Daphnia pulex: one gene and its partner. The protein of the gene in region 1 purifies or fractionates together with the protein of each later gene. This does not show direct contact. Links are inferred from orthologs where the notes say so. Each region holds a gene or a part of one and is shown in the gene's direction. Other genes may lie near its edges.

Region 1 (7,101 bases):
TAAGGTATGATTTTTTATTGTTTACTTTTATTTTTAGTTCTAATTACTTTTGAGGAATTTGACAGTATTAATGTACATTTCTGTTAAATATGGGGGGGGGTCAATAATGTAGGATAATGTTTTTCCTGAAATAATTCGTTGCGGACAAGAAATTGAGTTGCCGGCGGAACAGATTCCATTCAATACGGATGTTGTTTCTGAAGTTGTTGCTCTTGTTGCCGGTGTTGCGGTTGCAGATGCGGCCATTGTTTGCCATGAAGAGGCAGTCAACGAATTTGATTGCGAAGTTGGTGTTAGGGATCTTTGCGATAGATCTTTTTTATGTTTACATGCAATAATGAACCTTATTGTATCTAATTTACCTTATTAATTTACGTTTCAATCAATTGCTTCATCAAGAGCAGCGAAGTTCAAGATGGGGAGGTGTATTTGGCAAAGGTGTCCGACGGAGAATGCGAAAGAAGACCAAATAGAAAAACACTACCGAAATATAGAGGATGGCTACGTTAATCTTGTAAGTAATTTATGGGTAAGTTATTTTTTTTTTGTTTTTGGGTTATTATATTCAATGTTGTGTTTTTATAGGTTTCGAATTACGAGAAATTTGTGGAGAGCACTACCAAGGTCAAGAACAAATTTTGTCAACAAGAAGAGCGTTTTGTGGAACTAAACCAACATCTTGGGGAAATTTTAATCTTTATCGAATTTTAATCTTGATCAACGTCAAGACCTAAGTGATCAGTATTTTATGATAAAACGTTTTTTTATTAACCTTGGAGGGTTGTGATGCTTTACACAAATTTATGGTCGCAAATTATCATTGTCTACGAGCTGATGATTTGTCTGAAGACAATGAATATGTACTGGACTTGGACTTCAGTGTTTCGTCTATACGTCAGTCTAATAGATAGAATTTGTATGAAGTGTTCAACGAAACTGGTATTCAAAAGCGAATGTGGCTTCGATAAATGCACAAGGTATATCTCTTATGTTTTCTTTCATTTTATTATTTTTTACTTGAACAACGTTTCTTATTGTTAACAATTTAGGAATGTACATATCCTCAAATTTTTCACTACGGAATAGGTGATCCTGTTTATATTCCATATGAAAGAACTACTTTTGAACCTCCTGTACTTGTACCTGTATCTGCACTAGAAACTTTGCCTGTTGGAAATTTCAAGGAAGCAGAGGAAGAAGTTTCTTGTATGGATGTTGAAGATGTGGACGATGGCGTAGGGGAAGTAGCTGAAATTGAAGAAGAAGACGTCGTCACCAGTCAACAATTGGAGAATGGCATGGCCAAATTGGTATTTTTTTATTGTTTTTTACTGTGTAATGTCATTATTTCTAATATTAAATTTTTTTAGGTCAACATGTACAATGCTTTTTTCGAACAATCGAGAAAAATGAGTAAGCAGTTCCGCTAAAAGAATGATGACATTCAAAAACTTAAACAGTTTCTTGAAGCTGAAAAGCAAAGGTAATCGTGATTAATTTTTTTCGCAATTTTAATTTCCTAATAATTCCATTTTTTTTTAGATTAATGCAGTGAATGGATGACGAGGAGTGGGAGGTAAAGGCTGTCCTGGACGACGAACAACATGACGGAGTCGAGTATTTTAAAATATGTGTAAGGTGCAAAGCTAAGTAGCAGTTGCCATTAAAAAATGGTAAACTTGGAAATCTAGCCGCTGCGCTTTCTTTTTGAGGTGTTGGTAAAGTGCAGGGTGCAGGTGCAGGTTAGACGGTGGGTAAAGTGCGGAACCCGGAGTGCAGGGTGCGGCGTGCAGGTAGGTGGGTAAAATGCAGGCCCAAATGCTGCTCACAGAAAGTGCAGGTTAGGTTGGTTGAGTGGAGGTTTAGATGTGGCATGAAGTTATTATTTTGACCACTAGGTGGCTGCCATTTTTATATTGAACTTTTTTGGAGTTTTGTATTGAACTTTTTTTGGGTTTTATATTGACTTTTTTGGTTTTTATATTAACTTTTTGTTTTTTATATTACTCTTTTTGGTTTTTATGTAATACTTTTTACCAGTTTTTATATTGAATTTTTTTATTTTTATATTCTTTTCTGTTTTATGTATTGATATTTTGAAAAAAAATTTATATTGAAAAAGTGGCGGTTTTGGGCCCTCATAATTCAGCGCGCAACAGAGTGTAGACAATAAATAAAAAGTACACGCAAATGGATAATAACTGACTGAAGGCAGTCAAACATAAAATTTCACTGCACATTGCACTTTTCCTAACCTGCATTTTAGTGTAGAATTCTAAACCTGTATTTTACCAAGGGAGCCGCTCGGTTGGGGAAAGTGCAGGGCCCCTGCACTCCGGGTTCCGCTTTTTACCCACCGTCCAACCTGCACCTGCACCCTGCACTTTACGGACACCCTTCTTTTTTTGACATTTAAAGTAAAAGGGAAAAGGTGTTGTTGTTTCTGTTTCCTTGAAAATAATAATATACAATTACGTCAGGTGTTGTGTGATCATCTTTTCCTACTGTCAGTTGTGCGATCCGAATTGTTAATTGGTTAATTTATCCAACAAGAACTATTCTTAACTGTATTATCAATGTCGTGATGCTTTTCAGCGCTAGTCAAGACAGGGATTTACAAGCCCGAGTTCAACTCGTAACCCGGGTAAACAAGAACTTTAACCATTTTTTTTTTCATTAAGTAATTGTATTTCAACCCATTGTTCACAATTTTTGAAATTTAACTAGATTCGTTCACTACAAACAACTGATCATGTTTTACCAACACCATATTTTCAAATTGATCCATCCCATGGAACAATTGTGCTGGGAAACAATCGGTTATTTCATTTGGGCAATGTTCTCCCATTTGATTGTCCTCAACAGGCAATATTCAAAGGATATGTCGAGCCAATTGTCAATGCTTGTTTTGATGGTCTGTTAAATAATTTAAGAAAAGAACTGTTATGCAACTTCTTATACTTTTAACGTCATCTTATATGGTATTGGTATGTCAGGTTTCAACATAACTGTAATAGCGTATGGACAAACTGGATCTGGGAAAACATTTACAATATTTGGACCTGGATTGCTCTACACCATGAATGAATCTGATTTTGGTATGGTTCCACGGACTGTTCGTAACTTGTTTTACAAAGCTAAAGTAAACAGTTTGAAGTAATAAATATGTGAAGATTAAATAACTAAATTGGTTTTTGTTTGATATTTTGGGAATTTTTTTTAATTAGGAATACCCCGGAAGACAGATCTCTATCCAAGCAAGCTATTTAGAAATCTATGATGAAGAAATTCATGATCTTCTGAGTATGGAACCCTTTCATGGTGAAATTACTGTACAAGAAGATCAAAATGTATTATTTAAAAAAAAAAAAAATTTAAATGTGAAATTGCTGATAATAGCAATGCTATAATTATTACATATTGAATTTAGGGAGAAATCATCATCACTGGAGCAACACAAATGGAATGTCATACCATTGATGATGTATTTAGCTGTCTTGAAACTGGTCTGGCTTTAAGACATACTGGGCCCATGTTAAATCAACTCTCAAGTAGATCCCATGGAATTTTCACACTCTATATGCAACAGGCATGGACACAAGGTTGACTACTTTTCTTTATTCTTTTGTTGATAATTTTCTCAATGAAACTTGACATATTTTCTTTCAGATGGATGTTTGTATGAAGTGTGTTCTAAACTCCATTTTGTCGACTTGGCTGGATCGGAAAGACTTGGCCTCGGTGTTACCAGTAATCATGGAAACGACGATACACAACTAACAGGATTTCAGGAACCATTTTCCATTAATTCTGGCCTTCTTGCGTTAAGTAATGTCACGGCTGCATTGGGTGATCCTAGAAGAAAAGCTAGCCACGTGCCTTATTGGGATTCGAAATTAACCTACATTCTGAAAGTGTGTTTATTTTGTCAAAAACATTTCTTTTTCACTCTCTCTTTTGGTTACGATCTAACTGTGCATTTAAATTTATTCATGTAGGATTCACTGGGTGGTAATGCCTTCACCTTGATGATTGTGTGCCTTTCTCCTTCGGCTTCTGATTTGGAAGAGACGACGAATACGTTGAAGTTCGCATCAAGGGCAGCAAACATTTGTAATCGCCCAGTAGCGAATGTCCGCCTTACACCGATAGCTAATATTCCTTTGATGGCAATGGGCATAAACGCTCGCCCTTTTAATTTGGCTGGTGTGACGGAACTTGTGTCACCGCCTAACATTCCGCAATTTCAAATGAATGAAACTCCATTTACTTGTCAAGCTAATCCTATGAGGGACAATGAAGAAAATCGATCTGTATATCATGATCCTGAACAAACAGACGGAGATGAAGTTTTTAGGTCAGACTTTTAAATTTATAAATTGAAGCTTTCATTCAGCAATTGCATTTCTCTTTCCCATAGATTACGATTCGCAGCAAGTCAGTGGCAATTACTGGTGACCAACGCCGAAACACTTTTAAATGAGTTGGCTGCATCTGGGTTGCTTGGAAATGACACCAAAAACAAAATAGAATCTTGGCTTTGTTTGAAAGAGGAATACGCAAACTGTATTGATCCCGATTTGTTAACCATCAAACCGCGAAACAGAATTCAGAGTGATACCGATGGCAGTCACCTGACAGACTTGCCTATCACAACAAGCATATTTCACACCAGTGGTGAATCTAAAACACTCCATGTCATTGGTAACTAAATCTTTAGTGTGTGCGTGTGATAGTCGTTTTAACTATTATATTAATTTGTAGAAGAGGTATCCGAGCCCACTCCAACCCGTGAACTTTCTTCTGAACTGAGTAACAGGCATGATCGGTCGTCCATAGACTCGTCATCTGATGTAAGAACGGGAATAATGCAGCATTCTGTTTAACATAAAAAAACGTAAAATGAAAATATCGTATAATTTCTTTCATATTAGGGGTCTCACTTTACGGAGCAACTGGATATATTAAGGCAGCAATTTAGAGAAACAACTGACCGTTTAATCTCAAGCATCGAGTCAATGTATGATAACGCAACGTCTTTAGAATGGGGTGCATCAAATCCTATTGATTTATCTCAACACGCTGAATTTGACCGCGAACAATCAACTAGCAATTATAAAAGTGGGAATACCAGTCCGAAACCTCTAAGAACTGGTCGAAGAGTTAGTATATTCGGTCTTTCAAATGCAGTAGACCAACAGCCTCTAATAGGTGAAACTCGTTTATCAACTCCAGAATCTGTAAATAATGAATCATCATCTAATCATCCAAGTAAGTACTAAGTAGTTGAATCAGTTTTGAATTTTCAACCTATAGTCGATGATATCTTATATTTTTTTAAACACTAAACATCTTTGTTGCTTCTTGGCAGTTGAAGGGAGCCTGAAAGTCGGAGGCGATGCGGAAGACGATGCATGTCGAGAAATGCGACATTCTGCTGAGATTTCAGAAAAACGACAACTCCTTACATGGAAAACGAACAAACAACTTAAAAAAGCTCACCAAACCCTTGAGGAGCTCAAACGGACAGTTTCTTTGAAGGTTAGCTTGCCGATCTGACGTTGATCTCCCCAGTAATTTTTAACTATCTTTATTATTATTTTCTTTTTAAAGGAGGAATATGTGGATTTTACTCGTGACAGCAAAGAAAACGAACAGACAAAAACTCACCAGGAGAAAATTCAGAAATCGCTTAAGCAGGATAGGGTCCCTCATCAATCCGATCTAAATATTCCACCCCGCCATAGGAAACAGTCAGAAGACAACAGTGATGAATGCAGCAGTCCCATCGAACAAGAAAGCGACAACGTCACTGACGGTGAACGAACAATCGGCCAACAGCGGGCTGAGATTATACGCTTTGAACACTGTTTAAAAAACATGGCAGAGTTGCTAGATCTAACTGCGCGGGCTCCTCGGAAGTAATTGCATTTTACATTTGTGAAATTCTATGGATCGTTTGACTCAACTAATGGTACTTTATTTATTCCCATTTTAGAGTTGGCGAACTGGAGCGAAGTCTGTCCATTATGAAGGACCAGCAATCGGTTCTAAAGGAGCAGCTTCGTCAAGAGAACGAGAAGAAAAAAGAGTTGAAACAAGAAATAGAAAAGGATCATGTGCGTATAGTTGAACTTGAACGTCAGCTACAGGAACAACGAGTTAGTTCCGAAATGCGTTTCCTTGAACTTTGCAGTGATAAAGGTAGATTTAAAAAAATAATAATAATCTAATATTCGCCCATATTATATAATAACACGGCAATTTTCTTTTGTTTGGACTCGCAGACGGCACACCTGGTGAATCTGAATTGGAGCACAAGTGGCGCTGGCTGGTAGCAGAGGAGGAACGTTTGGTCGAACTGCGTACAGCCATAACGTGGCGCTCCGAAGAACTAGAAGAGAAGCAGAGTATACTGGAAAAAAGGGAAATAGCCCTTGACAAATCGAAAAATCAAAGCGAAACCGAAAAGAGCCACACAAGTTCCATCGGCGATGTAGGAAGCAAGCGGAAAAAAGATATGGAGTCAAATGATAAAGTAATTGTTCTACTAATTACACATCTTGCGTAACAATTCTAACCCTTTTCTTCCATCAAATTTAGATCGTTCAAACATCAGGCAGTTCGTTTCTTAAATATAAGCTGTCCGACCTACAGTCGATATCCGGAAATGATAATCCCACTGACAAGGAGGCCATTCGCAAAGAGATTCGTAAAATGAGACACACGAGAGACTCTTTGGTTCAACAACGGCAAGAACTCGACGAAAGGCAGCACAGGGTAAAAGTCCAGTCCCGAATTGTAATATGATGAATGCCAAATTCTCATCCTGTTTTAATTTTCACGAAAAAATAGGGGCGCGACTTGGATGCCAGCGAGGAACGCCGCATGCTCGAGTTGGACGAAGCCATTGAAGCTGTTGACGCAGCGATCGAGTACAAGAATGAAGTTATTTGCAGTCGACATTACGAATTGAAAAGCTCGGTGAGTGTCGGAAGAAAAAAAAACACATTATCAAGTCACGAGCCACTTTACATGCTCATACATATTTATTTCCTTTGGCAGACGGAGGACGGATTGCTGTGTAGACTCATGAGTTTA
Region 2 (7,293 bases), on another chromosome or scaffold:
ATTGGCTCCTCCGTTCCTGTTGAGCGTCCGTGATGAATTGCAGCATGAAGACAAAAAGAGAAAAAGGTCGTTTAAAATTAGCAATGGACGGATGTCAATTTTCACAGCAATTTTCTTGTTTTATCTTCACCGAGATCTTCGCATTCGGCCCACGGTTGCACTTTGCTCGATGCAAACATCAGAAATATCGTGTTTGAAACGAAGTAGACTCCGGCAGCGATTAAAAATACCAGACGCCATTGACCAAGTGTTTGCTATGCACAAGAAAAGCAGTTGTGAATTAATAAGAAAAAATTGCGAAGCATTTGCGAACAGTGAAGCTCGAAAATTTCCCCGTTGCCGTAACCAGGAGTTGTAGAAATTGGATTAGTGCGCTTTAAAGGTATGAAAGGTCTTAAAAATAATCAAAACTCACGTTTCCTTTAACTAGCACACCCACAGCATAAGGAGCCATAAATCCACAGAGATTGGCCACTGCATTGGTAACACCAAACAAAGTTCCGGCGTAAGGTGGTGCAATTTCGACAAAGTTCACCTGATTTTTTCATAATGAAAGGGGTTTAATGAGTTGAATTATTTCTGAATTATTTGTTTTAGAATGTACTTGAAAAGCAGAATAAGAAGCACCACTAAGTCCCACTGCCAAAGTAAGTAAAATTACGGCAGCTACAGTATCACATCCAATAAATCCAGCACCAATTAAAGCCAACGCGGGTCCGTATTGGCCTTTTATAATTGCAAAATTTGAAATTAATCTCGCAACTAAACTTGAACATCTCGTTTTTAAAAATAGTTACCAATAGAATTAAATATCTTCCGTACAGTAATAACTCTAAATATTTGTTTGGAAATGAGAATATCTGCGACTGTGCTGCAAAGGAGCGAGAAAAGCCACATCGCCAAGTAGGGAAGAGCGGACACGAAACTATTCTGTAAAATTCATTCAAATATCAAACGGATTAAGTGACTTTTTCACTTGGCCTTGTTTCAAATTTTATTTGTACCTGTTTCATGTTAAAATGTAAAATATTATCCATGTAACTCGGTAGTTCAGTCAACAGCGTGTAAAATCCCCAGGCGTGACCAACATTGGCCGCCCCTACAGCCCAGCAGGCTTTTGATCTAAACATGCATCGCCACGGTACGGGAGCACTTTTCTATATTAAGGAACAAAAATCAACCAGTCGACTTTTGATTAAAACTAATAAAGAATTACCCTTTTAATGGAGTCTTTCAAAGAACTGCAAATGTAATCTTTCTCCTCTTTGGATATTTTGAGATGTCGAGATGGAGAATCAGCAGTGAGGGGCATCCAAACGGCGAACCAGACGATACCCAAAGTCCCGAATACGTAAAACACTGTTGGCCAGCCGCCGTCGAATCCGTGCTCGCAAAGAATTCCCGAAAGAGGCAGTGTTATTACAGTCCCAAATTGTGCGCCTAGAAATTAGAATATAAACTTTAAAGAATTTCACGATGAACATTATACAAAATCCAACGTACCTGTGAAAACGAAAGCGGCCATTTTACTTCTCTCCCACGGTGGAGCCCATTCGGCAAGCATTGCGTACATCGCCGGGAACGTCACACCCTTAATGGATGTTGAAACAGTCAATTATTCGCTAGATTTAAGGATTTATTCGGCATGCGGAGGGCACCATGTCTGTTTCCCAGTGTGGCGCACTAGCAGCGCCTTTTTATAATAATATCGTAATACCTCTCCCAATCCCATCAAGACTCGACAGAAGATCAGCAAAGTGTCGCTTGCTCGAGCGGCGAACGGCGTCAACAAAGTGAAAAGTGAAGTACTGAGGATGCCATAACCAAGTAATTTTCGGCCGCCAAAAAGCTCCGCCAACCTCCCACCAGGGATCTGCGTTAAAACGTAGCCCCAGAAGAAGGAACCCAGGATGATTCCTTGTTTATATTCATCCCAGGCAAACTCTCCGTCCTTTTTAAAAAGAAAAGAAAAAATGTTGAAGATCATTAGTTTCGCATGGGATTATGTTTGACGGGGAATGACAAATAGACGGGCTTAAGCTGTGCACCAGACTGCAGACACGCGGCCATTTGCTCCAGACCATTTTCGTGCCTATATACAAAAAGCCAAGACTCGTGACAGGATTAACTCTCAGAGAGAACGAGGGAGATAGAATACGAGAGACAGGAAAAGGATGAACAAAGTCTAGCGAAAGCTTCCAATCCATCATCTCAGAAGAAAAGACCCAGGGGCATCGCGTACAAGGGGCCGAGTAGGGTGACTAGTCTTAGATCCCCTAGTGACTTTGCAATTATGTTTGACATTTTTTTTAGAGTCATTTACCTTTACTATTCCGGATTGGCTCTCTCCTGGAGTCTCTGGGCAGATATCCACCGCGGTTTGATTGATGTGTGGGATAGCGCTCTGATTGACCATCGCTACGATCGTCACGGACAAATTCACTCTCATGGCATAGACATTGGCAAATCCCAAGAATCCTAGCAAGACTAGGGTATGTCTAGTCCCCCAGCATCCTGTTAGTAATAGAAAAATGTATTTCTTTTGTAATATTTTCTATCTAGGAATGCAAGAAGTTTGAAAAGTATTAAAACACTCGTAAAACAACTCCTAGAAACATTGTCTGTGGTTAACAAAGCAGTCACTTGAAGTTTCCTTTGTAGATAAGGAAACCAACATGCAGGACAACATAACCCTGCACATGCGGGTAAAGGATGCTCCTATATCGACAGTTTTATACCTTGGTCTTCGTCATCGTGGGGAACGAGTCGCAACTTTTCATTTACTGTTTCATTTTCGTCTACTTCGTGTTGTTCTGTTACTGGGATACTAGTTTGCTGCACCATTATTCACAAATTGCACTAATAAAGGAGGGTTGGTAATGTTAAACTTTTAAAAGAAATGAGCCATTGGTGTGATTGTGCAAGGAGAGAACGGGAGTAGGTTTTGTGTGCGTGTGGGTGGTATTTTTTGTATAGTTGGAATGTAAATAAAAATATTAGCAGACCGATCGATGACACGTCGCAATAGCCTGTGGCTCTACTCCTAGATGTCTCTTATTGATTGAATGATGAAAAATAAATTTCACTTAGCTAAAAAGTCAGTATAATTTGTATAGTAAATAATACTATAGAATTTATTTATCCCTAAAAATGAAAATAAGGCTGCCCTGATAGTCTTCTTTATTTCAATTTTAATTTCACTAAAAAGATAAAAATCAACGATGACATTAGTAACTAGTGCTGCCAAATCAACTGGTGGCGAAGCATTGTTACAAAAATTCCTCTGCTATACACAATTGTTTGGAAATGGAGTGAAGTTTTGGTTTAGTTGATTGACATTTATTGTTATTTATTAGTAGATTGTGATAATAAAAGACACAACAATGCAGAAAGCACAAATGCATGTCGTCGCAAACACGTGTGCAACGGGAAATGTGGCGAGTGTTGCCAGCAACTTTGGTCCCGAATCTGGTCCCAATGACGGTCAACAATTGATGCTTTCTTCTTCAGCATTGGGATTGGAAATATTGTATGAATCATGTAAACAAGTGTACCCTCTTCAACCAAATCCATTGCAAGTGACAGCGTTCATCAAATATTGGTGAGTACTCGATACCTTGCTGATGTCCGATCAACACTTGGGAGTGTGCCCAATTGCTGCGAATACTTACCCTGATTATGAATTACAGGCTTGGTGGTCCAGATCCTCTAGACTATATAAGCATGTATGATCATCCTGGAATCCCAGAACTTCACATCCCTCCACATTGGCATTATATCAGGTATACATTGACACTTAAATTGTTACCAAGCACGACTTGATTATTTCGTTTCACATCAGTTTTGGCCTGACAGACTTGCACGGTGATGGCAGAGTTCACGAGCCTTCAGGACCAGAGTTTCCCAGTGGTTTTGGTTTTGAGCTGACTTTCCGCCTAGCCAAAAAGTCTGGTGAAGCCACACCACCCACATGGCCAGCAGCTCTGTTACAGGCCCTTGCCAAGTATGTTTTCCACACTGGTAACTCTTTCTTCGCTGGTGACCACGTCTCCTGGCATTGTCCTCTGGACGGATCGGATTTTGAATGTCGCTTGCAACACATGCTCCTGGCGGAGGATCTTTTGTTACCGCCAGTCCAAGGGCCATTAGGTTCCGTCAAGTTTCTGCAAGTCGTCGCCGTTACGGAGGAAGAGTTGCAAGTTTCCCAGCACTGGAATGGAACTAGCGTGTTGGAACTTTTGCGACGAGTTCCCTCGTAATATCCCCCGCTTCACAATAACTCTAGAGAATAGCCAACAAAAAAAGTTGTATTGATTTGCCCATTTTTACACAGTGCCGGAGGCCCTTGGCTTGTTGCCGACATGCAGCGTCAGTTATCGCTGTTTGAATTGCAGCCCTCCTTCCGCCGCGAAGTCGAACATGGTAAGGAGAAAAAGTTGCGCCGCTCCTCACAGGAGCCGTTTGTAAAAGTTTATTTATAGAGAGAGAATCCGATGTATATTCTGCTTCCATGTTTTTAGGGATCGATCGTGACGGATGCTCGTTGTCGGGCGTCAGCGCTCGCTGCCACTGGGAGGAGAGAAAAGTCACTTCGAAAACTGGTTCGGCTTGGAGGAGTCCGGAAGCTGAGGACGACTCTAGTAGTCAGGATGACGAAGAAGATGAACCGGAAGCTGGAGCGACCCTCGGGCGTCATCGACCGGCCGACGGTGAACCAACCATCAACGGCGAAATCTGGCCCATTCGACGACTCTACAAGGGTGTCCATTTGACGCTCAACTTGGAAGCTGCTTCCCTCCTGCCCGTCGTTCTTCGGTAACCCTACCAGTTGATTTCCATTGTCAGTCTTTCCTTATTTTCTAAATTGTTTATTATTAGGGGACGACTTCGACACGATCGGCATTTTACCTTCAAAGCAGTGGCCGGCGAAACGGCGGTGACGCTCCTGACGGGCAGAGTGGGAGGTGCATTGGCTTCACCGTCAGCTCCTCTCGTAGCCAAAGGTCCTTGGCTTCAGATCCTCGTCGATTCCGAGTGGTTAGCCAAACTAGAATCTGATTTGGCTTGCCTCCAGCAGCCCGATGGGGTGATTATATTTCTTTTTGATGAAATTCATCTCGAATGCATTGCCAATTTTGTGTGTGTAATAATCAAAACAATTTTTTTTTACTCTCTCCCCTATTTTATAAAAAGGTGGTGGTTCCCAAAACGTTTTGCTGGTTCGACCGACAGATGGCGTTGACGGTAGTTCCCGATGAATTATGACGACTGTATAAAAAAAAAGTCTTGTCTTTCTCAACTTTTTTTTCTTCTTTTATTTTTTTTCATGTTGTTTTCCTTCTTTTTCCCACCCCTTTTCTTTATCTATTCTTTTTCTTTTTTTACAATTGTAAACTGTAACCACGTGCCTTTATTATTATTCCTCGTGCTCGCGCGTGGGATGGAACCTGACCTGCGTGAATCTCCTTTTCTCTGGAAAAAAACAAAACGAAATATCTCGGGCGGATGTTGACGGAAGCTGCGTGTTTGCTGCAATTATAATGACGTTGAAAACTTGCCAAAAATGCGTTTTTCCAATCTTGTCTATTTATAGAAAAAGGCACACACACACACGAGGTGTCGAATCTGTGTGTTCATTTCGTCTACACTCTTTTTCTATTTCTTTCTTAAAAGCCTTTGGCTGTCGTGCAAAAAAGGACTGGGCAGCAGCCGAATCCTTGAAAAAGTTCTCCTCTCCCAGCACAGCCTTTTAGTCGTTGGACGCTTTTTTTGGATACACGGCCGCTCACGCAGGGAAAAGCGACCGGAGGTGGCGGCGGCCGGGTCCTCTCAAGCGTAATTAAAAGCGCAGTGGTCATCTCTTTTTTTTTTTAATTCTTTTTTTTGACGCAGAGTATATTTTGTTAGTTTTCATCTTTTGGCCTTCGGGAGGGGAAAATGAGCAGCGTGATGCAACAACAATTTCTTTTCAAAACTCATTGTTGTTTGCATTTAGCAGCTGAGCTAAAAGGGAATTTTGTGTTTTTTTTTCACGAAGGCCAAAAAGTCGGATGAGGGTAGAAAGAAGAAGAAGAGAAAAAAGGTTCACGGCATCGATCGGACTGGCGGGCCAGTCTCCCTGGACCCTGCGCCGATGATGAAGGAAGAGAAAAAAAAGAAGAGGAGGGGGAGTTGATTCTCACACACGTACAGACGAACGAACCCTGGTGCTCTTAACGCAGACGGGGAGGGGGAGAGCCTATCAAGAACGAAAAGAAGGAAGAAGAAGAAGAAGAAGGAAAAGAAGAAGAAGAAGAAGAAGAAAAAAGAGCGGATGCTGAGAGAAAAAGAAAGAAGGGAGGGGGGAGAGAACATGGCCGACTCCCGGCAGGAGGGCGGCCACCTCCTCCCGTTGGGGTGGAAAGAAAGTGGGAGGTTGGGGCGGGCGGCACGCGGGGGCCCCTCCGACCTTTTTTTTCTTCTTCTACGCGTTCAGACTTTAAGAGTCAACAATGAACTTGATTCTCACCCAATCATCTCGTAAGAAAAGAAGAATTTCCTTATTTAAAATAAAAGAAAAAAGTTGTTTTATGTTTTTCGCATTTTTTAATCCCGCGGGAAAATGTTGGACATACCATCAAAAAAGGGAAAATTGGGTTGTGTGTCGTGAGAGAAAAAAACATGTCGCTCATCTCTTATAAAGACGCACATATACACGCACTTGACGGGTGGAAAAAAAGAAAAACAAGACGACGCCATTTCGTTTTTTTTGAAAATAGATGCGTGTAGAGTCGGTCGGTCCTCCTCCTCCCTTTTGGCCAGCAGCAGCAGGACATCCTTATTTTCATCTGGTCGTTCCTCCATCCACTTGTTTTTACCGTCGATTCTCTCATTCTCGCCGTTTTCCGACGTAGTACACGTCTCTCCGGGTCGGCCAGACTTAACCTTGGGAGAACACACAACCGCGTTATAGACGAAACGCAAGACTTTTAAGAAGAAGAAGAAGGTGTCTTGTTGCCATTGTAAATTTAGACGACCAACTGGTGAGCAACTTTTTCGTTGGCTGACTTTAAGATTAATTTAGCGACAACTGGAAATGTACTCGGCAGGTGTCCACCACATTTCTTAGGTCATCTTTTATTGAAAATGATAACCCAAAAACAGATCTGACATGATAAAAAAAAATTAAAAACAAAAACAAAACTAAACATGTGTGTGTTAATCGTGTTTTGGCTTCCCCATTCTGGAATTTTTTTGTTTCATTTATTTTTCAATTCTTTTTTATTCCAAAACATTTTTTTATTTCATTTCTTT

The links.
Region 2: the proteins of kinesin-like protein KIF7 (region 1) and suppressor of fused homolog purify together in Drosophila melanogaster (affinity purification with western blotting; 3 studies listed by BioGRID, with this or other methods). This does not show direct contact. The link is inferred for Daphnia pulex from reciprocal best matches to the Drosophila melanogaster genes cos and Su(fu).

The regions. Positions count from the first base shown.
Region 1 is NC_060028.1:3,196,247-3,203,347, forward strand, and holds the start of kinesin-like protein KIF7, read left to right. Parts: upstream 1-2,380; 5' UTR 2,381-2,584; coding exon 2,585-2,644; intron 2,645-2,727; coding exon 2,728-2,914; intron 2,915-2,996; coding exon 2,997-3,142; intron 3,143-3,227; coding exon 3,228-3,350; intron 3,351-3,430; coding exon 3,431-3,602; intron 3,603-3,669; coding exon 3,670-3,914; intron 3,915-3,998; coding exon 3,999-4,357; intron 4,358-4,420; coding exon 4,421-4,704; intron 4,705-4,764; coding exon 4,765-4,853; intron 4,854-4,934; coding exon 4,935-5,271; intron 5,272-5,371; coding exon 5,372-5,541; intron 5,542-5,613; coding exon 5,614-5,921; intron 5,922-5,998; coding exon 5,999-6,204; intron 6,205-6,287; coding exon 6,288-6,538; intron 6,539-6,603; coding exon 6,604-6,780; intron 6,781-6,855; coding exon 6,856-6,984; intron 6,985-7,065; coding exon 7,066-7,101. UniProt on the Drosophila melanogaster protein: Regulates cubitus interruptus (ci) processing by recruiting multiple kinases to promote its efficient phosphorylation.
Region 2 is NC_060019.1:8,215,524-8,222,816, forward strand, and holds suppressor of fused homolog, read left to right. Parts: upstream 1-3,235; 5' UTR 3,236-3,383; coding exon 3,384-3,601; intron 3,602-3,689; coding exon 3,690-3,782; intron 3,783-3,841; coding exon 3,842-4,255; intron 4,256-4,333; coding exon 4,334-4,422; intron 4,423-4,520; coding exon 4,521-4,815; intron 4,816-4,878; coding exon 4,879-5,086; intron 5,087-5,193; coding exon 5,194-5,265; 3' UTR 5,266-5,556; downstream 5,557-7,293. Other genes in the region: putative inorganic phosphate cotransporter, read right to left, coding at 412-535, 605-726, 798-930, 1,005-1,157, 1,217-1,440, 1,504-1,591, 1,718-1,951, 2,324-2,514 and 1 more.